3 linked regions of the Alligator mississippiensis genome follow. Each later gene encodes a partner of the first gene's protein in a complex. Links are inferred from orthologs where the notes say so. Each region holds a gene or a part of one and is shown in the gene's direction. Other genes may lie near its edges. The genes, in order: TIMM21, TIMM50 and TIMM17B.

The links.
Region 2: TIMM21 (region 1) and TIMM50 share a complex: the UniProt entries of both Homo sapiens proteins name them as parts of the TIM23 complex. The link is inferred for Alligator mississippiensis from reciprocal best matches to the Homo sapiens genes TIMM21 and TIMM50.
Region 3: TIMM21 (region 1) and TIMM17B share a complex: the UniProt entries of both Homo sapiens proteins name them as parts of the TIM23 complex. The link is inferred for Alligator mississippiensis from reciprocal best matches to the Homo sapiens genes TIMM21 and TIMM17B.

What each region holds. Positions count from the first base shown.
Region 1 is NC_081826.1:107,904,218-107,914,842, forward strand, and holds the start of TIMM21 (mitochondrial import inner membrane translocase subunit Tim21), read left to right. Parts: upstream 1-6,729; 5' UTR 6,730-6,959; coding exon 6,960-7,251; intron 7,252-10,625. Other genes in the region: FBXO15 (F-box only protein 15), read right to left, coding at 1,300-1,367. UniProt on the Homo sapiens protein: Participates in the translocation of transit peptide-containing proteins across the mitochondrial inner membrane.
Region 2 is NC_081838.1:1,064,907-1,074,569, reverse strand, and holds the start of TIMM50 (mitochondrial import inner membrane translocase subunit TIM50), read left to right. Parts: upstream 1-5,277; 5' UTR 5,278-5,292; coding exon 5,293-5,487; intron 5,488-6,572; coding exon 6,573-6,723; intron 6,724-8,279; coding exon 8,280-8,311; intron 8,312-9,663. Other genes in the region: SUPT5H (transcription elongation factor SPT5), read left to right, coding at 510-668, 772-940, 1,138-1,341, 2,074-2,169, 2,617-2,760. UniProt on the Homo sapiens protein: Essential component of the TIM23 complex, a complex that mediates the translocation of transit peptide-containing proteins across the mitochondrial inner membrane. Has some phosphatase activity in vitro; however such activity may not be relevant in vivo.
Region 3 is NC_081831.1:28,426,693-28,437,388, reverse strand, and holds TIMM17B (mitochondrial import inner membrane translocase subunit Tim17-B), read left to right. Parts: upstream 1-6,202; 5' UTR 6,203-6,267; coding exon 6,268-6,293; exon of another isoform or gene 6,294-6,335; intron 6,336-6,698; exon of another isoform or gene 6,699-6,795; intron 6,796-7,262; coding exon 7,263-7,362; intron 7,363-7,615; coding exon 7,616-7,679; intron 7,680-8,297; coding exon 8,298-8,426; intron 8,427-8,584; coding exon 8,585-8,695; intron 8,696-8,952; coding exon 8,953-9,041; 3' UTR 9,042-9,276; downstream 9,277-10,696. Other genes in the region: SLC35A2 (UDP-galactose translocator), read left to right, coding at 1,311-1,338; PQBP1 (polyglutamine-binding protein 1), read right to left, coding at 2,938-3,094, 3,640-3,700, 3,910-4,005, 4,246-4,355, 5,120-5,231, 5,508-5,574; EBP (3-beta-hydroxysteroid-Delta(8),Delta(7)-isomerase), read left to right, coding at 10,162-10,465. UniProt on the Homo sapiens protein: Essential component of the TIM23 complex, a complex that mediates the translocation of transit peptide-containing proteins across the mitochondrial inner membrane.

The sequences.
Region 1 (10,625 bases):
ATATTTTCGTATGAATTCTTACATGTACTCATCACCAAGATATAATGCATTGCTGCAAAGCGGTATAAAGTACTTGATTTCTCTGTCTTGTTGAGCAAATTCTGTTCCAATTTACTATTTGGAACAGCATCGACACCAGAGTATTCTGATCCAGTAGCATTTTGCAGCTCCTCTAGCCACATATCAATGATTATCCAATCCAATCCAATTCAATTCACTCTATTCCACCTGTGTCTTAGTCAAGGTCTTTTTCAAAACATTTAGTCACTGCAGTGGTTGCCCCACACAAGTTGTACGCAGTGCAAGGCAGCACGGTAAGAGTAATTTAATACTTGCAAAGTACCTGGATGTTACAGTAACCTGTCGCAGAAGAGAGTTTAAATGAATGTTTCACTAGCTTTGCATGAAGTCTACTAATGGCTTGTTGTATTAAATCAACCCAGACAAAACTATTAGCTTCAGATCTCAGCTGTTTTTGCCATCCCCCATTTCTAAGACTCCTAGAGTTTCTCTCTTAACAGGATGACAGTATTTCCCTTTTTCATTTAGAAAGCAAACAAACTACATAAACACAGATCTTTGTGCAGAAAACACCAAGAGAAATGTTGAGAGGAAACATCCCACCCAAGTCAGGCTCTCCAAAAATCAAACTGTAAAGTAGCAGCGAATTGTTGCTATTCCTTTACCAAGTTTGCCTCTGGCTTTGAGCCTTGAATGGAAATGTTTTCCAGTTTTTTTTCCCCCCTTCAGCCAGGCTTAAAAAGAGAGAGAGAGAATTACCCTGGCAAATCCCAGGACTTGGCCCAAGGCTGCAGCCAAACTTGTTTCCATCTTTACTGGAAAAGATGAAAAATTGCAACCGGCCAGGGAGTGCTGGGCCCCAAACTATGAGCTCTGGCTTTCCCCTATTTGAGCAGCCTCTGGGGCTGCTGAGCCACCCCCAACAACCCTCCAACACCCAGGGGTGCCCCCATTCACCACAGACCAGTGTCCTCTGCTGGGTCTCCCCCCACCCAGTGGCTTAATTTTTAACCTGCGCCCTCCCCCGCCGTCCAGTTGGTCTTTAAGCTGCCTTGAGCCAGGGCAACAGGCCCTTGGGGGCCCCCCCCATCACCCGGGGGGGCTTACAGCTCTTCAAGAGGCCACACCAGCAAGGGATGGGATTGCACGTGCCTCCCCCACGGGGGCTCAAGGCGGGCTTAGATCCCCCCCCATTTCTGCCCCCTGCCTGGAGCACAGGGCCCTCCTCCACCGCGGCGCCCCAGCCAGGAGACAGCTCCGAGCCGGGGGATCGGGTACCTGGCCCGCATGTCGGAGCCCGCGCCCGCCCAGTGCTGCCGCAGGACCCAGCCGCGGCCCATCGCCATGGCAACACCGAACCCCGACTGTTGCCCCCCCCGCGGAGCTATGGGGGGGGGGGTTTTTGGCGGCGACGTCACGTGACTCACTGAGAGCGTTCCAAGGGGCGGCCTCGTTCTCGCGGGGCGGGGCTTCTGCGCCACCTTCTCTCGCCCCGCCCTGACGTCATTCAACCTGTGACAGCTGCTTACTTCGTAACACTTGTGTGACGCCTGCGTGACTAGCACGCCTGGGGCAATGCAGAAGTGTGACGTGTTGGGCGCTAACGCACCTCAGGTACTGCGTGTTTAGTTCAGTACTTCCTTTCTAACGTGCTAAGGACATCGGTAGTGCCTGAACTTACTGCACAGTAGTGCTGGGGCACAGTTATTTAGTGACACTTAGCTGCCAGTTAGCCTCATGCTACTGCAGGCTAGGCTAGTCACACAGTTTTTGCTGTGACATGCGGTATGATGCTAATGTGCATAAGCTGCTAGTGTCAGTGCGCCCAGTGACAAGGAGAGAGCGCTTTTGAAATGAGACCTGCAGCCTGGCTTCACAGCCTGAAAGTTGTGCTACATCAGCCAAAAGAGGGCCCAGGCTGCTCCCACGCTTAGTGCTTCGTCCCAGAAGAAAACTCCTTCACGCTCGGACTCAGATGACCCTTGATCATCACGTCCTCCCGTGATGAGCTGTCGCTGATAGCAAGGCTATTAAATTGGCCCTGGATTTGATCCACTCTGGGCACGTCTACTTGTGAAACCAATTTGATGCAAAAAAAAACTCCCGTGCAGTTTGCAATGGAGTTTTTTTGCGTTGCTTTTACAGGTGCGCCTGACACCACAGTATGTTGAGTCACAGCAGACCAGCCCCAGCAGGCGGGGGGTGCCGGTGGTCCGCCTGCCAGCCTGGGGCTGCTCTGACTCAACATGCTGTGGAGGGGCTAGCTGGGGTACAAAAGTGCTGTGGTGTGGGGCAACCCTAATGCACCAGTCAGCCCTGGTCAGCATCTACATGCGTGTTGCAGCAAAGTAAATAACTCCACCATAGGATCATACCCGTGTTGGGCAGTACTGTCCTATGGCCGAGTTATTTAGTCTATTTCAGTCAAATAGTACCGCATGTGTAGATGCTAACACTTTACTGTGGAGCTAATTAATCAGCTCTGCAGTAAACCTCTCATGTACATGCACCCTGTTTGTGGGAGATCTCGAGTGGGAATAAAATCATTTGTGTTACTCTTCCTTTTCCAGCATTTCTTAAAAACAATGTTCAATAAATTCTTCCTATAACTCTTGTCTGCCTGTTAAACTCATCTTCATTTTCCATCCACATGTATTCAGCAAATGCATTGTTATCTTCATGAGCGTGACCATTAATAATAATCACATCTTCACTGATGATGCTTGGGCTAGGACTGCTGCCATTTGGATCTTTCATGGCTGCACTTCTGATCTGAAGTAGGAGCACGAGTAGCTCTAGATTTTACAAAGTACTCTTGTAGGCTAATGGCATGAACCTTGCCATAGTGCTAGGACATTAAAAAATGGGGGGGGGGAGGGGGTGATACACCTGGTGAGGGGCATCATGGCATCTAAAACTACAGGTGTTTCTCTCTAGGTAAAAAGAAATTAGACACTTTTCCTAACAGGCTAGAGACCCAGGCAGGGCTGTATTATTTAGTGTTAGAGTGAAGAAGAAACAAAGAGAATTTCATTGGAATGAGTTGAAAACTAATTCACAAGGCTATAAGACAGGAGCTGCCTCACCAGGAGCAGGGAACAGGCAGCAGCATAGCATAGCACAATCCCTTTGCTTGGTTGGACACCAAGCCTATTCAAAAGAAGGGAGGAATGCTATACACATACAGATTGAAAAGTTTAGGAGGGATCAGGTAGATGATAATGAGCCAGGAAGTCATAGAGTCATAGAGAAGTAGGCCTGGAAGGGATCTCCAGAGGTCATCCAGTCCCAACCCCCTGACTGATTCAAGTGACTCACTCAGCACTGCCTATTGAGAAATGCTGCTGTCACTGCCAGGCAGTTGATTTTAAACTTTGGGTGGAGCAGAAATCAAAGGGGTGCCTCAAGTCTATCCAAGGGTGCCTTGAGTCTAAAAAGGCTGAGATCCACTGGCAAAGGTGCCAGTCTACTCTGCCTTCTCATACTGGCCACCTGAGTACAAACTGTGGCTCCAGGATCACTGAGAATAATAACAAGTTGTCATATTTAGAGAGGGGGAGTTCTCTGAAGAACTTATGAGAAACTTACTCTTCAGCGCTGGCTAAAGGAGAAGCTTTCTGCTGGAAGAATAATTTGCAAGTATTACTATCCATCCTCAAGAAAGAAAAGTCAGAAGCAGCCACCGAGTCAAAAGACTTCTGTGAATTTAAACTATATGGGAAGTTTGAACTGCCAGAGTTATTCTGCTATTAAGATAATTTGAGACTAAAAAAAGGTCTGACACCTGCTGCTAAATTTCTTACAGGACCCAACTAATAATTAAAATTAAGCCTAAACCATTTAACAGATTTACTTCCAAATTCTCAGAATGTTCCATTTATTCTCAAAGAGCAATTGCTGCCATTTGCATGCATAATAAATACTTTGTCTGCTTTAAGAACAAAACCTAAGTGACAGATCTGTGACTAGCATCTCCAAAATAGCCATTTTGGTACCTGCAGTGTTGGGACTGATTCTTCCAACAAAGTAGATTTATTAGCATATGGTTAACTGTTATTTTAATTTGATCCTTAAATGTATTTTTATACCAACATGTAAAGTTTGAGAGGCACTTGGTATCAGTGGAACCAAAGAAATCATCTACACCAAGGGTTGTAAACTCATCCAGCTCCACGGGTCAGATGAGGATCCCTGGGGCAGTCTGTGAGCAGACTGGGACCAACTCTGTGTGCAGCACATACAGCATGAGGTCCAGCCTGCATGCTGCGTACACCGGTTCCAGGCCTCGCTGTGCATATGGCAGGGAGGTCCAGTATAGGGCACATGCTATATGTGACACAGCCTGATCTACACCAGGTCAGAGCCAGTATGCAGGGCTGGTCCTGCAGAGTGCAACATGCACTGTGTTCCCCTGACTGATCCCCTGTGCCGTGTGCAGGACACACAGTGCCAAGTCTAGACCACATACTGCATGCAGTGCAGGGGGCTAAGGCCAGTACATGGGGTTGATCTGGCCCATAAGTCACAGAACCATATGGCTTCATAGGCCAGATGCAGCCCACAAGCCATATATGTTTGACACCTCTGAACTACACATATATGTGGTTATGGCTGAAATCTAACTCCTATTATATATTCTATATTTCAGTTGCTCATCATTTTCTTAAACAAATTCCCTAAAGAGGTTCATTTTCATGTAAAGTTTGAACAAAATATTTTAAGATATGTTTGAGTAGTGGCTTTATTTATTTTTATATAAATAATAAATATGTATATTGCTGTTGTGCATTTTATATACACATACCCCAAAATGTGTAAATATATTTTATAAAATTAAACACACCCAAACTCAAGTTCTGTCTTCTATAGTACCTTTGTAATACACAGTAGTTGAATTCAGTGAGGTTGCAGAGGTACAATTAATAAAGATCTTGGCCTTAATTGTAGAATAGGGTTTTAAGATACTCAGCTTTGTGATAATTGTGTAACTTCATACAAAACAATACTACAATAAGAGACAAAGGAGCTTGGAAAAGAATGAGAGAGATTATGTTTGTTTGACGTTTGAGCAAGCAGTTGGACTAGATGACCTCCTGAGGTCCCTTCCAACCCTAATTGCCTATGATTCTATAACTTCCCTTTAGGCAGGTCAGTAGCCCTTATATTGCCACAGCTAACTAAGAAAGCAGCATTTCAGGTCATTTATGCAAATCTTAGATCCACCTCCACCCTGCACAGTTCACCTTCCCCTTCTGTGCACAGGAACCACTCCCAACTCCTTCCACCCTATTGTGTTCCCATTCCAGCCAGGGATATAACTCCATGCATAATCCCAAAATAATAATCCCAATTTTAGCCCTATAGCCTAGTGCAGTAGTTCTCAACCTTTTTTGTACCAGAACTCATTTGTAGCCATTGATGGCCAGTCCCAACCCAGTACCCCTCACTCCCAACCCGCTGCCTCAACCCAGACCCCAAGCCCCAGCCCCGCAGTGTATGGGGCAAAGGGGGTGTGAGGAAGGAGGGGGGGAGGGGGAGGGAGCAAGCAGCCCCTCGTAAACTGGAATTCTGCCAGCCTGCAATGGAAAAAACAGTTTCCCATTTTTTTTTCCTTTAAAGGAGAGTCCATTTTTAAAGTCTGTTGATCCATTTATAAAGTTCGCTCCCCACCCTTTCATATATTCTTGCAACCTACCTTTGGGTCACAACCCAGATTGAGAAATGCTGGCCTAGTGGTTAGGGCACTTGCCCAGGAAGTGGAAAATTCAGCTTCTAGCACCCTACCTGCTGCTTCATAAATTTGAAACCTGTACCTCCTGTTTCATAGCAAAGCATACCAACTGCAAGGCCATGGAGAAGGACTCCTCTTGAAACTTAAAAAACTGAAAACCAAGAGCCAGAAGTAAAGCAAATTGAAGGAAATGCAACTCAAAGAGATGGGTGCTGGGTTCTGATCTCCTGCCCCAACTGGTACTTCTAGATTTTGCATTTAATAATCATTCCATAAATTGGGTAGACAGCAGGGTAAATCAGCATGCAGAGCCACTTTAGGTGACCACATAAATCAGCCATGTGATTGCTGGATTTGATCCTCAGTTTAAAAGCAGAACCTCTAACCACAAGGGTAAAGTTCAAAGGAAGGCAAATAATAAATCGAATTGGCCCGATTGCTGCATGCTCACACTCCTGCTTATGCAATTAATGAACAGATTCCCATGTTAAAAACCTTTCAACCCTAACCCCTAATTTTGCAGTGCACATCCAGTCTTTGCAGTATTGGGACCTTACGTCACCAGTTTTCCTCTAGAATAGAAATACTTCCTGATCTGCCCTTTTACAGCTTCATGCAAAAAGCAAGGAGCAACTTGCATTTTTGCAAAACCCTAATGAAAGAAAAGATGTTAACAACCCTTGTTAAGACATTAAACGTTGAAAAAGAAAAGCTGTTTGAACCCCTTTCTAAAACACTGAAAACTGGCAAAGCAGGGAACACACCAAATGCCTAACCCTGGCTGCAGCAGCACGTTACCTACGTGCTCCCCGTGCCCAAGCCAGTGGCTTTCGATTTGATTCGTGTCCTGGATCTTGCTGATTTCAACAGCAGGGGCTGGTGCTTTGCATTCTGGGACTTGTAGTCTTTTGGCCTCCAACCCCCTTAACTCGGGGCAGCAGAAGAGTTTGTGCAAACTACGTTTCCCAGGATCACAGGGACTTTGCAAGGAATAATGGCGGGGCAAGTTGCAAATGTCAGCGAGCAAAGGGGAATGTGGGGTTTTGAGTGAGCCGGCAAGACAAAAAGCAAAAGATTGCTCTAGTTCTTCTTGCTTTCTCAGGGGCTGCACCAGCTCAGCAGCAAGCAAGGTGAGGTTAGCCTTAGCTTGAAGGAAGCTGCGTTGATCTGAGCCTATAGCATTCTCAAAGGCTTGATCTGCCCCAGCATGTTTTCTGCTTCCCTCATGCGAGTGATTCAGTGCAGCGAGAAGCTACAGCTCTCCCCAGGAAAGTGGTTTCTTGCCCCCCATGGGAAAGTGTTTTTAAGGACCTGGTCGTGTTTCAGTGGGAGACACGAACTTGTCCGCAGAGGTGTGCGGCGCCCTCGTATATTTCTCCAAGGCGCAAAGCAAAGTCTCTGGACCCAGGAAGGGTCCCTGAGAGCTGAGAATAACAGCAAACGAGTGTCTGTGCAAAGAAGCCAGAAAGAGGAAGCATCTCTGTCACCTGCTCGGAAAGGTAAGGAGAGGCCCTTTTAAGCCAGTAGCAATTCAGAGCAACATGGAGATGGTGTCACACGAGGGCAGTGGTGCAAAATTGAGTGTCAAAATTGCAATTGAGAGTTGCAGCATTCAGGAAGACTGCTACATCTCAGCCCTCTCTCCCTCCTCCCCTCCTTGACTTTACTTTGCCTTGTTTTGAATTGCTTTCTACACTGTTAGGTATCCAGGCATTGGCGACGCGTAGAGGGTGTACGTTCACCCCCTGAGATTGGCCACCACCGACACCTGTAGGCACTCGCCACTCGCCTCCCCTCCCCGCTGCCGATACCGCTGGCAGTGTCCGCGGGCAGTTGCTGATCGCCACTGGCTGCCGCCAACACTGCCAACAGTGTCTGCGGGTAATCACTGGTTAGTGCTCGCCACCTCTTTCCCTCACCGCTGCCACGGCCACCTGCAGAAGTTTCCCACTCACCGCCGGCACGGCCTCACCACCAACATTGCTGTGCACCCCCCAGCCTCGGGAGTCATGCGACGTTCATGTACCCAGGTTGTAGCTGTATTGGTCTAGAGGAGAAAAGGAATTGTGATCTGTGGTAGATGTGATATCTTTTATTAAACCAACTAGAGCAGTGTAATTACGTTTATTAAATTGCAGTTTAATTCAACTAAAGAAATTTAATTGCAATTAAAGATTATTTTTTTTGCAAAAATCTAGTTGGTCTAATAAAAGATATCACCTCTACCACAAGTCCTGATTCCTTTTTTTTATACACTATTAACTTTTATAGGTACATCTCTCACAGGGTAACATTTCCCTTGCATTACCACCCGTTGCATTGGTTGACTTCTTTGCAACACATGGGTTTGTGAGGCCAGGACCTGACCCACCCAGTGTAAATCAGGGTGGCCTCTGGTAACCTATGTACAGTAGAGGGGGGGACACGTCCAGTTTTGCTAATCCTAGTTCACTATCAGCAAACTTAGTGTCAGTGGGACTTCATTTTCAGAAAATTTTCCTGCTATAAATGGGATGTGACTGGACAGCCAGTAATTTTCCATTTGTGCACATTATATTTCAGATGCCATTATAATCTTTCTGATGCATAATAAATGGCTAAATAACAGGCCTCTTAGATTTAGACCAAGAGAAGGAGACTTAACATTTTGTAGTAACTTGCAGAGTTTCCTAACCTTTTTTATCCGTTATGACTGGGCCTGCTATATGCATAAGCTTGCTGCCAAATTTCTGTTTCCCTTGGGTGTTTCCACACTACATTGCAATCTGCAATATAGACATTTACTTGTATTGAACAGAACCTTAAACTTACTGCAAAAAAACAGAGAGGATTTAAACACCTTGGCTGACTAATATTCTAGGAATTGATTCTCTGCAAGTGGTTGAAACAGTTCAGAAAATAATTCTATATCCACATAATGTCCTGAAGATTAAAACCTGTCTGAATTTAATGACATAAGTGAGTGGTTCTGAAGAGCAGTCCATAAATAGCTGGGTGATTACTTTGCACTGGCTCTATAATTTCGCTGATTTTAAGGCCCAAGGGGCCCATTAGAAAATCTAGTCTGACCTGCGTATCGCAGGCTCTTAAATTTTAACTAATTACCCCTGTATCAACCTATACAACACATCTGACTGAAACAGATCTTCCAGTAAGGAATCCAGTCTTGATCTGAGGAATTAAGAGATAACAGATGTACCATTTACTTTGGTCATTTGTTCAAATGATTAATTGCCTTCATTTTGAAAATTTAATACAGGTAATGCCTTTTTTGCAACAATTGCTTGTTAAAGCAACAGCCACATTTCATCTGAATACACAGCAGTGAAAATATTCCCAGTGATCTATACCGGAGCAAGAGCAGTTTAGGAGCAACAGGGCACGTCTACATGTACATTAATATGCCGTAGTTACTGCACATTAAGTTTAGTACCTATAATAACAGGTACTAACTAGATGCACAGTAACAGGCACTACTGCGCAGTAGCGCATGCCTTTTAAGTGACAGTAATGTGCATTAGACCAATTCTACTGCACATTAGCACAATAGCATGGCTTTTGCCGTGACGCACTAATACATGGTAGAATTACTCTGCCGTGCATTTAGCGTCCCATGCAGCCGTGCCCGCAGAGCACCAGAACACTAGGCTGTTGCTACTGAGAGGTGTTGACTGTACCTTATTTCTTGTCTGCATTTTCCTGGCTCTAGCTTCCAGTAATTAGTTCTTGTTGTTATTTAACAATGCAGTTACAACTGTTACATTGAAAATAGGAAATGCTTTCCTTATGCTACATTTTTGCATCTATGAAAAATACTACTCGCCAGAGAAATGTAGGTGGAAACATTTGCTCCATCTAGTTGCAAAATGGAGGAAAGGAGTCTTACCCCCCCCCCCACACACACATGCACACAAAAAAAAAAAGCGGCATAGCTATTTGAAAAAAAAGGACTTAGGTGCATTTCAGGCACCACAGTTGAAAGCCAACTATCCCCTCTTCTGTGGCAAACAATTCAGTTGGTATCTCCTTGTTTAGCCTGCAACTTCCTTAGTGATGTGGTTTGGGACATGTACGTGACTGCCATGGCCCTTGTAGCTTGCTTCCAGCTAAATCCCCATTGGGATGTAGAAATCTGCCAGATGTATTCAGAGCACACCTAACATGAGAGATTTGGTTATGCACTCCCCCACCCCCACCATACCTCCAGGAGAGTGCTCTCTAACCACTAGGCTGTAGATTAGATTGGGTTGGGGGAGCACTCTCCACCTTTCCTGTTGAAGTTGGGCCCTTTGTGGAAGAGAATGCAACGCCTGGAAGAGAGAGCACAAGAGGGGAGCATGAATATGTAGCCAAGTAGTTAGAGCATTTGGCTTGGATGCAGAGGTCCTGGCTTATGGTCCCTGTTCCCAGGACTATATTCATTTTTCATCCAATGCCTCTCTCTAATGTAAATACATAACACATCCTGGGAGCAAAGCCCAGAATTAATCCCAACCCCCAGTGTGATGTGCAAGATTGAATATCACAATTTAATGTCTTAATTAAGTTTCCCTTAAGCACCTTGCAACAAATACCTTTTTATGGTAGATCAGTTTATTTCCCTAAGGTTTTAACATTTTTTTCTCGTTTAGTTCAATGACTCGTGAAAGAAAGATGAAATACCATGCTCAGGACCAGGAAATAGAGAAGAGAGTTTTCTTAGAGGATTGTGATTCAGACATCTGTTCCTAACAGCACTCTTTTTCTTTTCTTTTTTTCGTAATTAAGTAATTTGTGACATCAGTTATAATGTCTGATCCTATCTTCTTGGTTTCTCCAATTTATTCCTTTCAGCAAAAAAATAATTGTTACACAATTAGCTTCAGAAATTAGA
Region 2 (9,663 bases), on another chromosome or scaffold:
CCATGGCCACTCTGGGCTGTGGGGCTGAAGGCTGGTGGCATTGTGGGATGCAGGTGAGGCAGAGTTGGGTGCTGCACAAGACATCATTCACACAAGTGGCCTGAGAGACCACATGACATGCATGTGTATGTGCACACATGCACAAGGCCACGAGGTGGACACGAGTGGTGACATGAGACGCATATGTGCACAACCACATGCAAGGGGCTGTGTGACATGCACAGACACGGGGGGAGCACACGGCCATGTAACGGACATGAGGCCACATGACAAACTCGTGTCTGCCCAGAGGCACAAGGTACCACATAACATGCACGCAAGAGGCCCCGTGACAGACAGGAGGGGGCCAGGTCCTGCACACGCACACACTAACATACTCGCACACAGACTGCCCTGGGCTCCCTGCAGGCCTCACAGAGCGGGTGCTAGGAGAGGATTGGGCGGCACCAGGGTAGCAGCTTCCCCGGTGCCCCCTGACAGCCATGTTCTCCTCCCCCTCCCCGTGCCAGGGCGGACGAGGAGTTTGAGTACGGCTTTGACGACGAGCCCACGCCTTCGCCGCAGGGCTACGGGGGCACCCCCAACCCCCAGACCCCCGGCTACCCCGACCCCTCGTCGCCGCAGGTCAACCCGCCCTACAACCCGCAGACGCCTGGGACGCCGGCCATGTGAGTTCATGCTTTGGGAGCGGGGGAATGGCTACCAGCTGGAGGAGATTGCTGGACAGTGCCGGGCTCCTGGCTCCGCTCCTAACCCTTTTCCCTACGGCAGGTACAACACGGATCAATTCTCCCCCTACGCTGTCCCGTCCCCGCAGGGCTCTTACCAGCCCAGCCCAAGCCCTCAAAGCTACCACCAAGTAGCCCCCAGCCCTGTGGGCTACCAGAACACCCACTCGCCGGCCAGCTACCACCCTACACCATCACCCATGGCATACCAGGTAGGCAGGGGATAGGAGCTGTGGCTCTAGGCAGCAAAGAGTTCATGTTTGGGAACAGGGAGCTCCCTGACTTGGGGTGGAGGGGGACCCTTCCTGAGTGCCACTCTCATCCCCTTTTCCCTGCCCTGTGCTCCATCTGCCACTACAGACGGAGGCCACCCCTCTAACTCAGCTTCTTTTGCCTCCCTGTCACACAGGCCAGCCCAAGCCCCAGCCCAGTGGGCTACAGCCCCATGACACCAGGAGCCCCATCCCCAGGGGGTTACAACCCGCACACCCCCGGGTCCGGGATCGAGCAGAGCTCCAGCGACTGGGTCACCACCGACATCCAGGTCAAAGTGCGAGACACCTACCTGGACAGCCAGGTGGTGGGGCAGACTGGAGTCATCCGCAGCGTGACGGTGCGTTGGGAGCTGTTCCTGGGGTGCGGGGCAGTTACCAAGGGGGTTGGGCAGTTAATCTGGGATGCTCCCCCCCCACTCCCAGACATTTGTTTCCCCCCCCACGTGGGGTGAAAGTGGGGAGCTTGTGGGCACCAGGAGTGGAGAGTTCAGCCAGATCCAGCCGGGGGCTGGACCTGTGCTGGAGGAAAGGGGCATCGGGGGCTGTCGGGCACAGGAGTGCGGGGCACGGCCTCAGGGTTGCCACGTCCTGGACCCTTGATGGCTGTGAGGGGGAGAGGAACAGGGGAAGCCCTGCTTGGACCCCGTCACTCCCCCATCCAGCGCCGCTCTCTGCCCCCATGTGACACAGGAGACCTGGCAGAATGGACCTGGGGTCTGACCCAGTCCACAGCAGCTCTGAGGTTCCAACCCTCCCACCCCAAGGAATATAACAAAAGGCTCGAGGGCGACACAAACTCATCATTCACAAACCTGTTGCTCTAACCACTGAGCTATGGAGCCAGGCCTCGTGTCCAGCACAGAGGAGCCCTTGCTAGTGCAAAGCTTGTTGCTAGGAGGATGGGAGTTTGCTCAAATGCTCGTAACAAAGCCTCAAGCCTGGTTATGGGATGCAGAGGCCCAACCCCTAGATCCACTTCGGAAGGGACCAGATCCTTACCTAGCAAGGTCCCCCTCTCCTGCCTCCCCAGCTGAAGCTGCTACCTGACTTCCCTGCTTCCTCCCCTCCAGGGCGGCATGTGCTCCGTGTACCTCAAGGACAGCGAGAAGGTCGTCAGCATCTCCAGCGAGCACCTGGAGCCCGTCACACCTACCAAGAACAACAAGGTATGCGGCTGCCCCCAGAGCTGGGCTTCGGGGCTTCGGGGAGGCTCGGATTTACAGGGAGGTTGGTCCTTGGAAGGCCCTGAGCAGGGTGAACCCCACTGGAGGGGTGTTACGTAGCTAATGCAGGGGTCATACTGACCCACAGCAGGGGGGTGTCAGGGTGGGAAAGGACCTGGATGAAAACCCTATTTTCACCCCCCTGCTCCATCACCCACGGGTGTTGCCGGCTCATCTTTCCCAATTGGCTGGTCTCGGTTGCCTCGCGTTTGGATTGGCTGTGACGCACTTGGGAAGGCTCGAGGCTTTGTCAACGATTGGCCCCTGAGCTCAGCTTCACAGCCCACATCCCAATCGTGGCACATCCAAGGGACCTGCATGGCCTAAGCTCCCCACACCTGTCTCAGCCTCTCCTTGCCTGACCCCGCATCTCCCGCTCCTCCCTCCCAGGTGAAGGTGATCCTCGGGGAAGATCGGGAAGCCACAGGTGTCCTCTTGAGCATCGACGGCGAGGACGGCATCGTGCGCATGGACCTGGAGGAACAGCTCAAGATCCTGAACCTGCGGTTTTTGGGCAAGCTGCTGGAGCCGTAGGGCCCATAGGAGCCTCTGGCAGCCCCTCAAGACTGGCCTGTGCAGCACGGGGAAGGGGAAGGAGCTCTCCCAGGGAGAGGGGGGTGTTGCTTTTAGTTCTTTTCCACACTCTATTTTGTTTTGGGGGGTGGGTTTTAGTTGTAGTCTGGCAGGTGCGTGTCTTAGCAAAGCCGGGGCCACAGGGATGGGGCGAGGGTAGAGGCTGTAGCACATAACACGCTTCACTGGCTTCTGTTTGGGGAACCCTTTCATCTGCCCATGTCCAAATAAACCTCTCTCTTCCCCCCCCTGCACCCACGTCCTCCGTCTATGTCAGCAGGGAAGACCGGCAGGGTCTCGAGCCACAGGAAGGGCTGCACAGTCATGCCCTATGGATTCTGGGCAGCCAGAGATTGTCTTTTGCTTCCCCACTGGCCTGACACCCCTGAGGGGCGCAGGAGGATTTTACTCTAGGCAAGCTGAGAAACTGGGGGTCAAAGAGCATCTGTCCCTAGCAGAAAGGAGCGAGGGAGCCAGGTTTGGGCAGGAGAGCTGGGCTCAGAGGCTGGCAGCGAAGGCCAGGCACTTATCGGATGAACCAGGGCCTCTTGCAGTCAGTTTGTTAACCTCTGCAGTGCCCCCGAGAGGAACCATGGGCTGTGCTCCGGGGGGGTAGGAGCTGGGGTAGCAGGGGCCGGCCATGACGGATGCTCTGATACTGAAGGGCTTGGGGCTGCGCTTGGCAAGTGGCGGCTGGAGTGTTTAAAGCCTGGAGGCTGCTCTCGAAGCAGCTCCGTGCACCTTAGATAGTCGGGCTGAGAGCCCAGACGGAGTCACCGAGGTATTTAAGTCTTTGATTCACGAAGGTATTTATGTCCTCGACTTGCAGAGGTTCCTATGAGGGGGTGAGACCTGCTTATGCCTTTCTGGGTCTGGCCCTAAGTGCAGTGGGCAGAGATCAGGGTGGAGCCTGCGGCTTCTTCATAGAATCACAGACGAGGAGGGTTGGAAGGGACCTGTCCACCCCCTGCTCCAAGCAGGGCCAGCCCCAGCTCCATCATCCCAGCCGAGGCTTTGTCTACCCGAGTCTTCAAAACCTCCCAGGATGGAGACTGCGCCACCGCTCTGGGGAGCCTCTTCCAGCACTTCACTGCCCTCCTCCAGAGAGAGCTCTTCCTAATACCCAACCTCAACTTGCCTTTAAATCGGCAAACGCAGCTGGAATTTGTGATCAGAGCCCCCCGCAACCATTGCAGAAAAATTCAGTTGAGTCCAATGTTTCCGCTGTCCACACGGGCTGGCAGCTGCTTTGCCTGCCGAGGTGCTGGAGCGGGTTTGTGTCAAACCTTCGCTGGCCTTGTGTTTTCCACGTGGGGCCTTGCGGGAGGGGGCTGAACCGCGGCCGCGCTGGAAGTACACCCTGCGTCCGTTGTTCTAGGCTGGGCAGCGCCTGCCGTCCTGTCGTGCAGAGGTGTGTGAGCCTCGCGGGCCGCGCTGACCCAGCAGCAGTGCTTCTCTCTTGCACGCACAGTCTCACACTCGCAGTCTTGTGCGCACCTTCTCACGCATGCATGCAGTCTTACATGTTCACACATACATGCTTGTGCCCACTCGTGCGCTCAGATGCAACTATTCACTTGTGCATACGAGCTTCCACTCATCCAGCCCTGTGCGCTCACACTTGTGCAGGCACGTGCACTTGTGCAAATAGATGCACTCTCATGTCTATGCATGCTCTTGCACATGTGCTTTTGTGCACTCATGCACTGCCACAAACACATGCCCACAGTTGTGCAGGAACTTGTACATTCCTCTATGCATGTTCTTGTGCACTTGTGCGCGTGTACACTCATGCACACACATGCATGTGCCCACTCATGCAGGCACATGCACCCTTGCATGCGTGCATATGCCCACACTTGTACATGCACGCATTTTTTTTGCACTCCTGCGCACACTCAAGCATTCACACATGCTCACACGTTCTTGTGCAGATGCACAACCCAACCACACGCCCACACAGCGCCAGCAGGTGCACGTGTTGTCATTAGGCTTCAGGGTTAACGCCATGAGACGAACCACGTGGTCCCTCACCGCAGCACCCCCGGGCTTGCACCCTCGAAGCACGTTGCGGGGCGGTGGAAGGCGCAAAGCCTGCCGGGAGGAGGGGGGGTCACTGCCCCCTTGGCGCCAGCGACCGTAGCCAGAGCAGTTCCCCCACGTGCTGCCTTTGACCTTCGCCGCCTTCCACTTCCGCCTCCTGCCCCCATCCCTGATTGGCTCGGGCGCCCCTCGTCCCGCCTCCCCACTCCGCGATTGGCCGGCTTCCCCGGCCCTCCGCATCTCCATTGGCCGATACGTGCGTCTTTTCCCTTAAGCCCCGCCCCTTTAATTTCTTCACCATTGGCCCGGTGAATCCAGAGGGGCGGGACTCGCCGCGACTCCCGTTTCCTGGATTGGCTTGCGCCGCGGGAAGGGGCGGGGCCGGCCCCGGCAGCCCGCGCCCTGATTGGCCCGGCGGCGCGTGCGCGGTGTGGGCCGGCGCGGGGCAAGATGGCGGCGGCGGTGGCGCGGGCGCTGAGGGGCTGCTGCCGGCGGTGGCGGGCGGCGCCGTGGCGGGCGCTGAGCGCGGGGCCGGCGCCGGGCTCGGGGGGCGCGGCGCACGTGGGGCCAGCGGTGGACGCGGGGCCGGCGCCGGGCGCGGGGCTCACGGGGGCGGTGCTGCAAGACAAGCTCCAGCGCCCGCAGGTGAGGAGTGGGCGGGGCCTGAGTGGGTGTGTGGTCTCGGTGGGGGCGGGGCCTGAGGGGGAGGGGCTGATTGGTTGGGGCGGGGCCTGAGGTGGGAAGTGATTGGCCATTGGGGAGGGGTTGATGGTGGGGTGTTTGAGGGGGCGTGGCCTGAAGGGAACTGATTGCTTGGGGACGGGGCTGGAAGGGGAGGGGCTCACCGATTGAGGGCGGGGCCTTCCTGATGGGGAGGGGCCAGTGATGGGTTGTCTGAGGGGGCGGGGCCTAAGAGGCGCAAACTGGGGGAGGGGCTCACTGATTGAGGTTGGGGCCTGAGGGGGCGTGGTTTCCCAATGGGCAGGGTCTGATGGTGGGGCCTGAGGGGGTGGGGCCTGAGGCCCCAGAAGTTGGAAGTGGGGGGCTAGAAGGCACCGCTGAGGTCATCGCCAGGGATCCTGGTTTTCTCTGATTTAAAAAAAAAAAAAAAATCCCCAATTTTCACGTTAAAAAAAGAACCCAAAATCCACATTTTTCCTTGATCAAAATGAAATCCCCCCTCTCTCTCTCAAATTAGGTTATTATTAGATTAAATGAGGCCAGATCCAGTTAATTGGTGGCCGTCCACCCGCAGGCCGGATCGAACGTGTTGGGGGGCTGGGCCCAGCCCTGCCCTGCCCTGCCCTGGGTTAACACGCAAGCTCCCGCTTGCTTGAATGGGGCAGCTAATTCCCTTTGTCATCACCCCGCAGACCGGGCTGTCTGCTTCCGCATTGATTCCCGCTTCATTCCCGACCCGGAGATGTCGCGAGAGCTGCCAAACCTGGCGAGTTTCCTGCTTGGAGTCACCGAGGGGCTCAGTGATGCGCTGGGTCTGCTCCCCGGCATGCTTAGGGGCTAACTGCTTTTCGTTCCTTTTACGAGGGTTTCTGTGAGAGGATCTGCCGTTGCCTCTGAGTGGCACGTAGAAAAGCCAATGGGATTCCCCCCCAGTAGAGGTTTTGAGGCTGGTAAGGGGGTTCATCGACTAGCATGGGATTCACGTGACTTCTTGCTGCCGCTAATTTTGATCTCTTTCCTTTTTCTCCTCCCCGCCGCAACGGGTGCAGACGACAGAGGGAGGAGACGGGAAAGACGCCGGCTCTGATGAGCAGCAGGAGAAAAAGAGGAAGGAAAACATAGCCTACGCCAAGAAGGTCGTGCTGCGGCTAGCAGGGCTGATGGGAGCCGGGAGCGGGCTAGCGATTATCTATGTCTTCGGTAAGTCCCGGCTGTACAGGCTGAGGTGACCGTATAGGAGCTGGGTGGACACGCGGCCTGTACCACCCATCTTCTGGAGCTGAAGTTTGGGTTTCCGGGGGCTGGTGGGGGGCTGCAGTCAAGCAGAGAGCGAGGACACAGGTGGTTGTTAGAAGGAGAGAGCTTCAGCTCTGCTGGGCAGCCGTCGGAAAGGCAGACTCGGGGATTATTAAGAAGGGAACGGGGAGCAAAGCCGGAAGTATCGCAGCGCCCCTTTGTACACCCGTGATGCACCCACACCTCCAGTACAGCACCCAGTTCTGGTCCTCGCACCTCCAAAAGGAAATAGAAGAGCTTGAGATGGTCCAGAGAAGGGCAGCAAGGTTGATCAGTGCGATGGGGAGAGACTAATGAGGCCAGGCCTGGTCTGTTCAGAAGAGAGATTCACAGGAGTTTAGGGCTGGAAGGGACCTCGTGAGATCATCGGGTCCAGCCCCCTGCTCCGGGCAGGAAAGTGTACAACACGGGGACAGGACGAGGGCTGACAACGTGTGAAGGGGGAGAGAGAGAGTCAACAGAGATCTATTCTGGGCTGTCTCCCCCCAGACAAGAGCAAGGGGTCACGGCATGCAAGGAGCAGGCCGGCCGTTTAAAACGACACCAGGCCATTCTTTTATAGATGGTATCTGTTCCATCCAGCGTGGGATGAAAGTGGGGAGCGGAGCTCGTGGGCACCAGATGTGGGGGGAGCGGAGAGTTTAGCCAGGTTCACAAAGGGCCTGGGCCCGTTTTTGGAGGAAAGGAGCATCAGGGGCTATTGAGCATGGCAGTGAGGGGCACGGCCTCTGTATCGGGACGCCCTGGACCTACAGAGCTGGAGGCTGCAAGGAAGAGAAGAAAAGCCCTGCTCAGACCCAGCCGCTCTCCCTTCCAGCAGTCGTACGTAACCCTCGCCACAAGTCGCTGTCTTGCTCTGTTGGACTGCCCGGCTGGGTTTCTAGCATGACGCCACGAATTGTGTGTGGCTACACGCGTGTGTATCTACATACATATGTACATGCATACACGCAGACACATATACAAGGGCATTTCCGAAAGTAGAGGCAGTTTCAAAATGCGTGCAACAAGGGAGAAACCACCTAGCAGCAGGGAACACGGATGCCCCCACTGACACGCTGCTTACAACTGCGTAGAGAAGGACGGTTTGGACAGGGCTGGTCCTGCCTCAGGCAGGGGGTTGGATTGGATGCAGCGTCCGGAGGTCTGTTCCAGCCCCGCTTCTCTCGTGTTTTTAACCCTGTGGATTCCTTTTAGACCCAGAGGGTTCAATCTCGTGTATTGTGTTGGCGCGCACATCAATGCTCACGTGGCCCCAGCAGCCCAGAGCGGCTCTCGAGGCACCCCGGGGTGCTCCTGGGCTCCTGGTTGAGCATCACTGCTCTCCAGCCCTTAGCTATCTGATTTTAGGTTGGAGGCTTCACACCTGTACCTGTGTGGCAGCCACCTGCTTTTCCTGACCTCTGCAGCCATTCGTGATGACACGGTGACTGATGTGGCTTTTCTCTCCCATTTCACAGGCAGCAACTCCTTGGATGAGCATGGGGCTAAGGTAAGGAGCTTTCTGCTTCCTTTGCATTTTGCGTCTTGATAATAAAAGAGGATTTTGTGGGGTCACAGAGAAAACCAGGATCCCTGCTTAAGAGATCGAAATGCTGGTGGGAGACAGTGATTACGCATCTGTGCTGTCTAGACTCAGCTTCCATTAAAACAGGCTTTTGGTACCTTGCCCTTGCTGCTGATTTTCCCTCTGATCCCTGCGTCTCAGTGCAACCCGTTAGCGCCAGCCCCTCCTTCTTAGTCTCATTTCCTTTCTTAGAGGGTCTTAAAACGCTGCTTGTTGTGTGGGTTGAAAATGCATGTAACATTTATAAGCAGCTGAGTGCTCCTGTATGGTGTTTTTTTTTGGTGGAAGCGGTGTTTCTGCTTGGAGAACTGGGTAGAAACCTGTTGAACCCTTTCTGGTAGCATCGGGGAGATGTAACCAGGATGCTTTGCATTGGAAAGTGTGTCTAGGTCTCTCCCTGTTGTATTTCAAGCACTTGGCTGCCAACTGGTGCAGTAGACTATAGAGCAGTGGGGCTGGAAGGGAGCTCCAGAGCTCACATCCAGTCCACCCCCTGCCTGAGGCAGGATCAGCCCTGTCCAAACCACCCCAGACGCATCCGTCATCTATGCTTTACGTGAGACGACTGTCAACCCTGACATAGCACAGACCTGACACCCAAACTTGCCCCAGGGAAAGCAGGGAGACCGCTGCAGCCAATGTCCCGCTCCTATGAAATGTTGTCAATAGATGCTCAAGGGATCCCAGGTAGAGGGCCCACCCCCTTTCCCCCCAGCAGCTCATATTAATCTGAGCATGGCATAAAATTCCTTCCTGGCCCAAATATGGTGTCAGGCTGAGCATGAGCAGAGGGGCAAGACCCTCTGGCCAGGACGCTCTGGATTTGGTGCCAGCAGGAGCATTGGCACAGCTCAGTTGCCGTCCCCTGCAGCCAGCACGTTTGGGGGAGGCTTAAAAACCCCCTGATACATGGAGCAGAAGGATGGTGGGGAACAACCAGCAAAGCCCGGAGGCCTGGGACACCCCCGTAGCAGAGCACAGGCATCACTGAGCCTGGATCACCCCGACCAGTGGCTGTCCAGCCTCTCCTTGAACCCCTCCAGGGATGGAGAGTCTGCAGCTTCCCTGGGTGTGTCTGTTCCATTGCTTCCCTGCTCTGACAGTGAAGAAGTGTTTCTGGATATCCAACCCAGGCTTGCTTTGCTGCAGCTTCAAGCCGTGGGTCTGTGTCCTCCTCTCTGCAGCAAGACAGAAAAGCTGCTTTCGTTCTTCTTACAGCAGCCCTTCAGGTGTTTGAAGCCTGCTCTCGTGTCTCCTCTTAAACACTTTTTCTGCCA
Region 3 (10,696 bases), on another chromosome or scaffold:
GATGCCTGGGTTCCCTCCCCATCAGAGACCTACCGCCCCCCCTGCCCCCGGGTTCTTTCTCCCCACCCTTGGTAACTAACTCCATTTCACCAGGCTGGGGGAGGGGGTGGGGGGGAAAAGGGTGGCAATGCTGGCTCTAGGCAGGGGAGGTCAGCACCACTGTACACTGGGTTTTTTTAAAGGAGGGGTGGGGTCTTTTGTAGGGGAGGGGCGGGGCCCATGCATCATGAAAGCTGCTGTCCAATAAAGAGCCTTATTTATTTATCCTGGGTTTTTCCGTGTCTGGAGGGGGTGGGGCCTACATGCACTCTAACACCATTAAGGGGGGGGAGGGGCAGAGCCCTTTAAGAGCTGGCTGCCTCAAAAGAAAAGAGTGTGGGCCTCCACAAGCCCCGCCCTTGTGTCCCAAGCCTTGGGGGACACTGAGGCATGGAGATAAGAACCCAAGAGTCCCCACTGGGGGAGGTGTGAACTGGCTTATAGTAGGGGTGCAGAGCAAGAGGGAACCCAGGCATCCGGGATCTCAACCTTAGTAAGGGAGGGAGGAGTGCTGCTCCCGAGCTGGCTGCATCTTGGCCTGTTCTCTCAGCTGCTTCCCAACGGCCACACCCCACAGCTGGCTAAATCTCAGCCTGTTACTCTTGGCCAATCCATATGAGACCTAGCCACCCCTCAGTGCCTTGTTATACCTGGCTGTCTCCTGGCTGCTACACCCCAGAGCTGAATGCTTCTTGGCCTGTTGTAGTTGGCCGTGCACTCTAGAGCTAGGTGCCTCATGGCTCTCCCTGCTTGCCCTCAGCAGCTCCACCTGAGCTGACTGCATTGTTGCCTGTGATATTCAGCTGTTCTTCAGCCCAGACCTGGCTGGATCTTGGCCAGTTATATTTGGCTGATCCATCTGAGTTGGATGCCTCTGCTGTTACACTCAGCTATTTCTTGTCTCCAGAGCTAGCTGCATCTGGGTTTTCTCACTGCCCTGTTACACCCCAGCAGTTGCACCCCAGAGCTGGTTGTATTCTGGCCTCATACTAAGCTGTTCCTCATGCCAGAGCTAGCTGCATCTTGGCCTGTTATAGTTTGTGATAGGTGCATCTTGGCCCTCCTGGTGTTCTGCCGTATCTGGCTACATCTCAGCCCTCCTTTAGGGGCATTATAATCAGCCGTTCCCCTTCCAAAGAGCTGGCTGCATCTGGGCTCTCACTGCCCTGTTAAGCCATTTCAACCCAGAACTGGCTGCCATACTCTGCCATTGCCCACTCCAGACACCTTCCCTACCTGAAGTTGCCTCTGTTCTCTTCTTCCCCCTCCAGGGCACCAGAAAAAGAGAAGGGCTCCTGACTGCAGCCCTCAGCTACATGGATCCACCCCAGAGCTGGACGCAGCTCGGGCCTCTCCAGGAAGTGATATACTTAGCCCATCTCCAGCTGTTGCACTCCAGAACTGGCTGTATCCTGGCCTGTTCTGCTCAGCCTTTTCCGAGTTGTCGCACCTCAGAGCTGGGCACATCCAGGCCTGTTCTACTCAGCTGTTCCCCAGCAGCTCCACCCTAGAGCTGACCACATCCTGGTGCCAGGCAAGCTCTCCTCGCCTTGGAGCTAACCGCCCCCAGCTCTGGTTGCAAGGAGTGGGGCAGGAAGGTTTCAACTTATCCCCCCCCCCCCCCACCACCATATCTGGGGTGCTTGGGGAGGGAATAGGGGCTCTGGGGTTAGAGCAGGCAGACTGGGAATTCAGACGCCTGGGTTCTCTGGGGGCTGGAGATTTAGACTGTAGGGGGAGGGAGGCTGGATGCCTGGGTTCCCTGGGAGGGGGTGTATGCATTGGAGCTGGGAGGGCTGGGAGTCCAGGTCCTTATGTTCCATCCCCAGCTGTGGGGAGGTCAGGGGGCCTGGACTTCTGGGTTTCCTGGTGAGACCAGGGGCTTAAAACCCAGATGCTTGGGTTCTCTAGCAAGGGAGGGGAGGGGAAGGGAACCTGTTGGGGTAGTGTTAGAGCCAGAACCCTGGACACCAGGGGTCTCTGCCTGCTCTCCCTGTCTGTTTCTATACATCAGATTGGTGCTGGGGCTAGGGGGTGGGGGTTCTGCCTGCACCTACTTTTTTTTTTTTTTTACTGGAGTTTTGACTTTATTGTGGTGCTAATGCTGCTTTCCTAAACTAAGAACTGAATCAGCGTCATCTGTAAGGGTCTGGGAGACCAGATGCCTGGGTTCTCTGGGACAGTGGTGGGGGCTGGGAACCAGACACTTGGGTTCTCTTCAGGGGCTAGGGTGGGTTACGGCTGGTCTTCTACCCCTTCTGTCTGACAGCAAGTGACTGTAACCTTCCCCCCACCCCATGATCTTGGCAGATACTGGGGCAGGTAACCCCTTCTGTTACCCCCAGAGCCCCACCCCGTGACCTGTACTGGCCTCAGTCTGGCTCCACCGCACTAGCTTTATTATATCAAAACAGGGAATTTTGGGTGGGGTCTGGGGGGTCCCCATATGGGCTTCTGAGCAGGGAAGGCACTGGAAAAGAGGTCTGAGGGATTCCCGGGGCAGGGTTTAAGGGCCCCAAAGAGGGAGATCTCTGTACGGGTGCTGGGACACCAAAAAGGGGGCTCTGGGGGTCCTCACTGCCAGTAGGTGACAGCAGGTTCCCATGGAGGGGGACTGGGGACAGGGGGTATTGGGAGGTCCTTAGCTCCCTGTGGGGGGAGGGGGGGGGGGGGTCTGGAGGAGTCCTGGGTTCCCTGTTGTTGGGCTTTAGGGGAATCCCAGGGGTTTCAAGGGGACTGGAGGGATCCTGGGTTCCCCATGGGGGGACTCTATAGAAGATCCCAAGGGGGTCTGGGGGTCCTAAGCAGTCCCAGAGAGGGCCTGGGAGGTTTGGGGGGGAGGGGGGTCCTGGAGTCCCTGTGGGGAGGCTCAGAGTTCCCAGGGTCATCCAGGCCCAGTCAGTCTTGCTGCTTGGCACGTGAGGCCTCGGCATTGGCACGCAGCACAGCGCCAGGGCTGGGGTAGGGTCGCTGCTGGAACAGGGGCCCTGCAGCCGTTGTGTCAGCCCCAGTCTTCGCCTCGTTGCGCTTGGGCAGCCCCGTCGACCACGTACCCCTGCCCAGGGAACGGGGCAAGGTCAAGGGGCTGGCCATGCCCCCTGGGGGGCTGGCCCTAAGCCCCTAGTAGCCACAGGCCCTGGGAATCTCTCCTCCCTCCCAGAGGAGCTAGCCTTGCCCCCATGTGGTTCTGCCTACCCTTAGCCCTACCCCCAGGGAGTGGGCCATGCCCCACCTTTAGCCCCCCCCGCCCCGCCCTGGCCACCACCAGGGCACTAGCCTCAGCATGTGGCTTTACCCACCCTTCGTTCCAACCCCAGGGAGTTAGTCCCACCCCCATGTGGCTCTGCCCACCCTTAATACCGCCCCTAAAAAGATGGCCACACCCCCATAGGGCTCTGCCCCCACTAGCTTGATTTTAAAGACCTGGGCCCCAGCCCCCTAAGAACTGGCCCTGCCCCCAGCCATAAGGCCCCACCATCCCCAGCAGTGGAGCCTGCAGCTGATAACCCCCTTAGGTCTCAGTACAGCTAGGCTCTGCCCACCTGTTAGGCTCCACCCCTTGGGCTCAGAAGCCCCTCCTCTAACTGCCCCAGCACTCACCGGGGGGCATCCGAGTAGGCACTGGGATCCATGGGGTCAAGCTCTTCATCCTTCCGGCTCCCTGAGAGTGGGTGGGAGCCTGATGTAGATCTGCCCAGGCTGGATCTGGGCCCTGCTTAGTGCCTCCTTGACTCCACCCCAATTGCCTCCAGCTCCAGCCCCTCTACTTTTAGCCCCACCCCAACAGTCCCATGTCCCCCCACCCCAACAGTCCCATGTCCCCCCCAACACATCCCACCAGCCCATGACCCTCCCCCAGGCCTTGCCCACCTTTTTTGCTCTTGCTGTAGGGGGAAATTTCCTCCCGGCGATGGAACCGCCGTTCCTTAGCCTCCTCATACAGGCGCTCAGGCTTCTCTTCTGCCTCTGTCGAGTGGGGAGAGGGGGATGGGAGGGTAGATAATCTAGGTATCCAAGTCCCCCAGCCCCTACCCACTCCAGAGAGGGAACCCAGGCATCAGAAAAGGGAGAAAAGAACCCAGGTGTCCAGGTTCCCAGATCCCACCCACTCTGGGGCGGGAACTCAGGTGTCTAGGCCCCCCAGCTCCCACTTCCTTTAAGTTGGCAACCCAGTTGTCTGAGGGCGTGCCCCACCCCACTCTTTACCTAGGTTGTTCTTTAGCTTCTTGCTGGCCTTGGTGATGACAGAGTTGGGATCATTAGGGGACAGCCAGGACACCAGGTCATTATCCACATTCCAGTAATAGGGTAGACCACTGGTGGAGGCAAAGGGGTAGTAATAAGTGTGTGGGGGGGAAAAGTGCAGCCTACTCTAGGGTGGAGAAGGCAGGGAACAGCCAAGCATAATAGGGCATATACAGGGCAGCTATGCAGCCAGCTCTGGGGTGCAGTAGGTCAGGAATGATTGGGTATAGCAACACCAAGTCGGTTGAGATGTTGCTAACTCTGGAACAGGAGGAGAGCTGGGAACAGCCCCATATAATGCCATGTAAATACAGCCCAGAAGTACCCAGCTCTGAGGTGGAGTAGGTGGCTATAATAACCAAATTTAACTTCCCATGGCGAGTGCTAGGATGCAGCCAGCTCTGGGGTGGAACAGGAAGGGAATAGCGAAGTATAATACTAACTGGAATAAGTTGGAATGATGCCCCATCTCAGAACTGGCTACAAGTATACCAGCATTCAAAGAAAGCCAAGATGGACCCAGCTCTAGGGTGGAGATGGAGAACAGCCGAGTATAACACTGGTAACCCACCTGAGCTCCACCTGCATTTTGGTCTATTACAGGCAAAGACAGCTGAGTATAACATGGCACAAAGAGGGCTAAGAAGCACCCAACTCTGGGGCTGAGCAGGCAAGGAATAGCAGAGTACAACATTGCCTAGAAGAGGTCAAAATGCAGCCAGCTCTAGGGTGGGGCAATCAAGATAGCCAAGGATAACACCATACAACTAGGGCTGAGATGCACCAAACTCTAGGGGGAGCCCCTGGGGACCAGCTGAGTGGAACAGGCCCTCACCAGATAGGGTCAAAGACCTTGTACCAGTTGGGGGGCAGGTTCTCGAGCCGTGTGGCCTCGTAGTCCACATGGTCATCATCATAGTCCTCTGCAATGATCTCCTCCTCTGGCTCTGGGGGGAAAGAAGTGGGGACAGTTAAAGTGGAGGGGGGTGCTGGGAGCCCAGATGCCTGGGTTCCTTGGGACTCTGGCAAAGGAAGAGCAGGGAGGGTCATCCCTCACTCCCAACCCACAACCCCCGCTCCCCACAGAGTCCCTCACTCCTGACCCGAAGTCCCCCAATTTGGGTGCCCTAACCCAACCTGCAGCCCTCCCTCCATCCTGGTGCCCCCCACTCCCAACGTGAAGCATCTGCAATGGCTTTGTGGGCATGGGGGGGGGGGCTCACCAGGCTCCACGTGCTTGAGCAAGCCCCTCTTGGCTAGGCGGGACTGGAGAGCGACAGGTAGCGGCATCTGTAACAGTAAGATGGGGAGCAGGGTCAGCGAGGGGGTTCCTAGGGGTGGAGCTGAGCTCCACACCGCCACGCCCCTTATGCTAGCCCCGCCCTCACATCCTTCCCCTGAAGCCCCTCTATTCCCATAGTAAGTTCCTCGCACGTGGGGCCCTGGGACCCCACCATTCCCCACCTGCAACTTCCAGCTACGCTCCCGAGTCAGCGCAGACGAATCAGCCGCCTCTGTGGCTTCAAGGCCCGCCCTTACCTGCAACACGTGACACGCGCCAGCCAATTCCAGTGCTGCGGTTGTCTCATACAGGCGGTGCCAGAGCCAGAAAACAGACTAGAGAACCGGTATCACGTGACAGCAGATGACCAATCAGAACGGCGAAACGAGCGTTCCCTTGTCACGTGACGCCGTTTAGAGAGGAACGCCTCGCTTTCATGTGACAGCAGCCAGCCAGTCACAAGTGGTCTACGAAAAAACAAAAAACACCCCCAAAAACTCCAAAACTCCCGTTGTCACGTGACGAAGCTGGTGCCGCTCCTGAGCAATCAGAGCCGTTGTTTCTTTCATCCACCTGCCTTTTCCACGTGATCAATAGGGACCCGTAGCGCCCCGCCTCCACGTGATTAAGATCGGACTTGGGAGAAAGGGTAGTCTTACCTCTCCTTTGTCACATGACCCGTGAGGCCGCTGCGGGGCGCGATGGAAGAATACGGCCGGGATCCCTGGTAACAGCGGCATAGAGGGAGGGGGACAGCTTCCAGGAACGGGTCAGTGGATCTGCCCTAGGCTTCTTCTTGGGGTGGCCGAGTCCATTTCGCCGTTTGGGGGGTGGGAGGGAACGGACGAATCCATTCGCAATTGTGGGGTGGAGGGGAACTATCGTTTTCTAGTTCCGCCCGCCGACCCGGGTCAGTTTGCGCTATTCCATGTTTGGTAACGGGGCCGGGTCGGAGATATCTGGCTTCGTCATGTAATATTAAGCAATAAGTTCACTTCTCCTCTTCCCCCCCCCTCCTGGCCACTTGGTACTTTCTGCCCCTCTAGGTTCTATGATTAGGCTAGTCTATTGCGAGGTGCTGGGGGTGGCTTTTGATAGCTGATTGCGCCCCTTCCTTTGAAATTACTTCCTTTTCCATTCCCGGTCCGTTAACAGGGCTAGAGGTATTGTGTAGTGGGAGGGCGAGTGTTGCAGGGGAGTGGCTGTTCCTTACATCTGACTCCCTGCAGGTACCTACCCCATTCTTCGGTACTTAGTACCTCTCACCCCACGTTCCATGGGTGGGAGAGGCCATTGTGGCTGGGGCTGGGGGGGGGTTCTTTGTCTGCTCCCGGAACTCGCACGTTCCCATTCCCAGGCACTTGGTATCTCCCTCCCCTGGGGTGGGGTTGTCTATGGGTGGACCAGTACATTTTGTGTGGAGGTGGGGGTGATGGCTCTTCACTCCTGACACACCCATAATCCTAGCCACTTAGTATCTCTCATCCCGTGGGGCAGGTGAGGCCATTGGGGTCTAAGGCAGGACTAGTTTTTGACAGCTAACCCCATACATGGTCACTCACATTAATGGCCACTTGGTACCGCCCACCCTATTGGGTTCTATGGGTGAGTTATTCCACTGCGGGCCAAGTCGGTGGGGAGGGGGGCTATTCCCAATTCACTCCCAACCCCCACACCACCCCACCTTGTCCTGCAGCCCCTGGCGCATTGTGGATGACTGCGGCGGTGCCTTCACCATGGGTATCCTTGGTGGTGGTGTCTTCCAGGCCATCAAGGGCTTCCGCAACGCCCCCATGGTGAGTGGCCTGGCCTCACCTACCCTCCTTTTATCCCCTCAAGCCCTGCCCACTGCATGGTCCTGCTCTGCCCCTTTTACCCTTGAAAGCTCCTCTCTATTTTTGCCCCACCTTCACACAGATTCAGAGAGGTGGGGGACAGTGTTCTGGGGGGTGGGGGCAGAGGGGAAGGCAGGAATCACAGCTGACCCAAACGTGTCCTGTGCACTCCACAACCCCCTTTTCTCCTCCACGCCCCCCCATTCCAATGCAGGGTGTTCAGCACCGGCTTCGGGGCAGTGTCAATGCTGTACGGGTCCGAGCCCCCCAGATTGGAGGTGAGTTGAGGGATTTGAGGGGCACAGGAGAGTAGGGCCTTGCTGTGGTGGTGAGGGTAGGGCAATTGAGAGAGAGCCTGGTGGTGAGGAGGCGGGGCCTAGTTGTGGGGCCAGGGAATTTCAGGGGCTGCAGGCCTGCCAATTAGGAGTGGGACTGAAGGACATTGGGGCAGGGTCTAGTAGTGGGAACAGGCCTGGGAAACTTTTAGGGCAGGGCTTGACAGAGGGGGTTGGGGCTGAGGGAGAGGCCCTGGGGGTAGCAGGTGGGGCCAGGTAAATTTGAGGGCAGGGCCTGAGCATAGGAAGGTGGGGTCTGGTGGTATGGGTTGGGGCTGGGGGACAGGGCCTGAGGGGCAGAAAAATTCAGGGATGTGGCCTTGGGATGGGTAGGCTGGGCTGGGGGACATTGGGGCAGGGCCTAGTGGTGGGAGGCAGGGCTGAGGAAATGATAACAGAGTCTGGTGGTACAGGTGGGCCTGGGGGGTCATTACAGGTGGGGCCTAGTAGTCGGAATGGGGCTTAAGGACATGGCCAAGGGGAGAGGGGGAGCTGGGGGCAATTAGAGGTGAGTCTTGTCGGTTGGGGCATGGTCTGCTCAGCCCCCTCTCCCAAACCCAGGCAGCTTTGCAGTGTGGGGTGGCCTGTTCTCTACCATCGACTGTGGACTGGTGCGGGTGCGGGGCAAAGAGGATCCCTGGAACTCCATCACCAGTGGGGCCCTCACAGGCGCTGTCCTTGCATCCCGCAGTGAGTGATGGACTCAACCCTACCTCATGGCCCCGCCCTTTTCCCTGAGGAGAAATGAAGACATTTCTGGGGAAAAGGCAGCTGCTTAAAGTGCCCCTTATTCCTGACTGGTAGCCCCATTTGTTCTCCAGTTCATGGTTCTCTCCCTCCTCCTGCAGGTGGCCCTCTGGCCATGATGGGCTCAGCCATGATGGGCGGCATTCTCCTGGCCCTCATTGAGGGCTTCGGCATCCTGCTCACACGCTACACGGCCCAGCAGTTCCAGAACCGTAAGGAGTTGAGGAGGGTTAGGGTTAGGGTGATGGGGCCTGCATGTTCAGCGTGAGGTGCATTACTAAGATGAGGAGGCTGTGAGTTAGGAGTAAGGGGGACACGGGGCGGGGCCTGCAGGTCGAGAGTTAGGGGAAGTTCTGGGTGACTGGGGGCCTACAGATTGGGAGTGAAGTGCATCAATAGGAGGTCTGTGGATTGGAATGGGGAGCACTGCTGGAATGGACCACCTAAATTCCATATCCTTTTTCCTCAGCCAATCCCTTTGCAGAGGACCCAAACCAACTGTCCCCCAAGGATGGTCCCAACTCAGCTGGCTACCCAGGCTATAGGCAGTACCAGTGAACCCCTTTTGGCACCCTGAGAAGAAGAGGGGCTGCTTGCCCCATGCCTATAGACTGGCTCTGCCCCTTCTGGCTTGTGCATGAAGGGCTGCAGAAAGGGATGCAGCCCCTTCCCTTCCCTTCCCCGCCAGGCCAGGGGCCACCACCCTGATCCCAGCATTACCCCGTTTCTGGAGGGGAGGGTCATTTGTATTTAAAGAGGTTTTTACAGTGGTTGAATAAAAAGATTCTTACAACTGTGTTGGGGTTCATTTGGGGCTGTTGGGAGGGGCAGGCTGGGGCCAGGGCAGGGCCGGGTCCATTTCCTAGTCAAGAGCAGACTGCTTCTGGGGTAGAGCAATGGCCGCAGCCCCGGAACTTCGGGCATAAGTCACCCCAGCTCTAGGGCTCTGGTTCCAGACTTCATATGTTAGACATGCCTGAATCTCCCTATATCCTATTGGCTAGAGGATTTGGCTGGGCCAGTCCCCCAGCCAATGGAGGTGCAGTGTCACGGGAGGAGGGGAGCGGTGGTCCTGTTGGCCAATGGCCGCACGCCTTTCTGAGCTCTCTAGGGCCCTGCCCCCTACCGTCCAAATTGCCTCACATCTTCCTGACGCGTGTCCCGCCCCTAGTCTGGCGCTGGCTGGTTCTGTCAGCCCCACCCCTGAGCCCATATCGCCTCAGCAACTGCCGCAGCCAATCAGCGGCTGCCCTGGCTCAAGTTCCCAGGCTCCGTCTCGGGCCCACGTTCCATTGGCCACCGAGGAGTGACAGGCTAAATTAGATGCTTGGCCGCCTCTCATCGCCATTGGCTACCGCAGCCTCACGTTGCTGCCCACACATGCTGCTATTAGTCAGGGGCCCAGGATTTCAAGCGCACACGGTTCAGTTGCCTCCTAGGGTTCGGCTGTAGAGTGCTGGTAGGTGTGTGGCAAGCGGGAGTGGTGGGTGGCCCAGGCGCGGGGTGGCCCTGGCCTCCAACTCCTTCCCACAAAGCTGGGCACCCAGACGCCTGGGTTCCTTGCCAGTCCCTCAGGCACAGAACCCAGGTGTCCAGGTCCCTTTGCCCATCAGGCCACCCATGCCAACCGCACCTTCTTTATCTTCCCTCACAGGTGAAGCTCCGCTCCCTCCAGTCCATGGCGCCAGAGGTCTCACTCCCACCGCACCCCTACTGGCCACGGGGGCTGACGGTGCCAGGCTTTTTGCCCAATGAGCGCCCAGCCTGGCATAGTGTGGCATTCATCTTTGGGGCTGCCGGCTCCCTAGCAGCCCTCACGTGGCTGGTCAGCGGCAGGACCCGCAGCCCACAGGAGGGGCCTTGGCGGCGCCTGGCACTGTGCTGGTTCACCGTCTGCGCCTTCATCCATCTGGTGGTCGAGGGCTGGTTCAGCTTCTTCCACAACAGCCTGCCGGGGGACCAGGCCTTCCTCTCCCAGCTCTGTGAGTGCCCAGAGGTCTGGGCTCTGTGCCTGGAGAGGGTTGGAGGGGACTCAGAGGCTTGGGTGCGGTGTTTGGGGCAGGCTTGGGAAAGGCAGGGTTGGGAGCATCCAGAGGCTTCAGCTCTATGCCTGGGAGAGCCTGGAACCAGGGCTCCATGTTGGGGGCTGGGGTGGCCCAGACACCTGGGTTCCACGCCTGGGGAGGGTTGAGGATGGACTCGGACACCTGTTA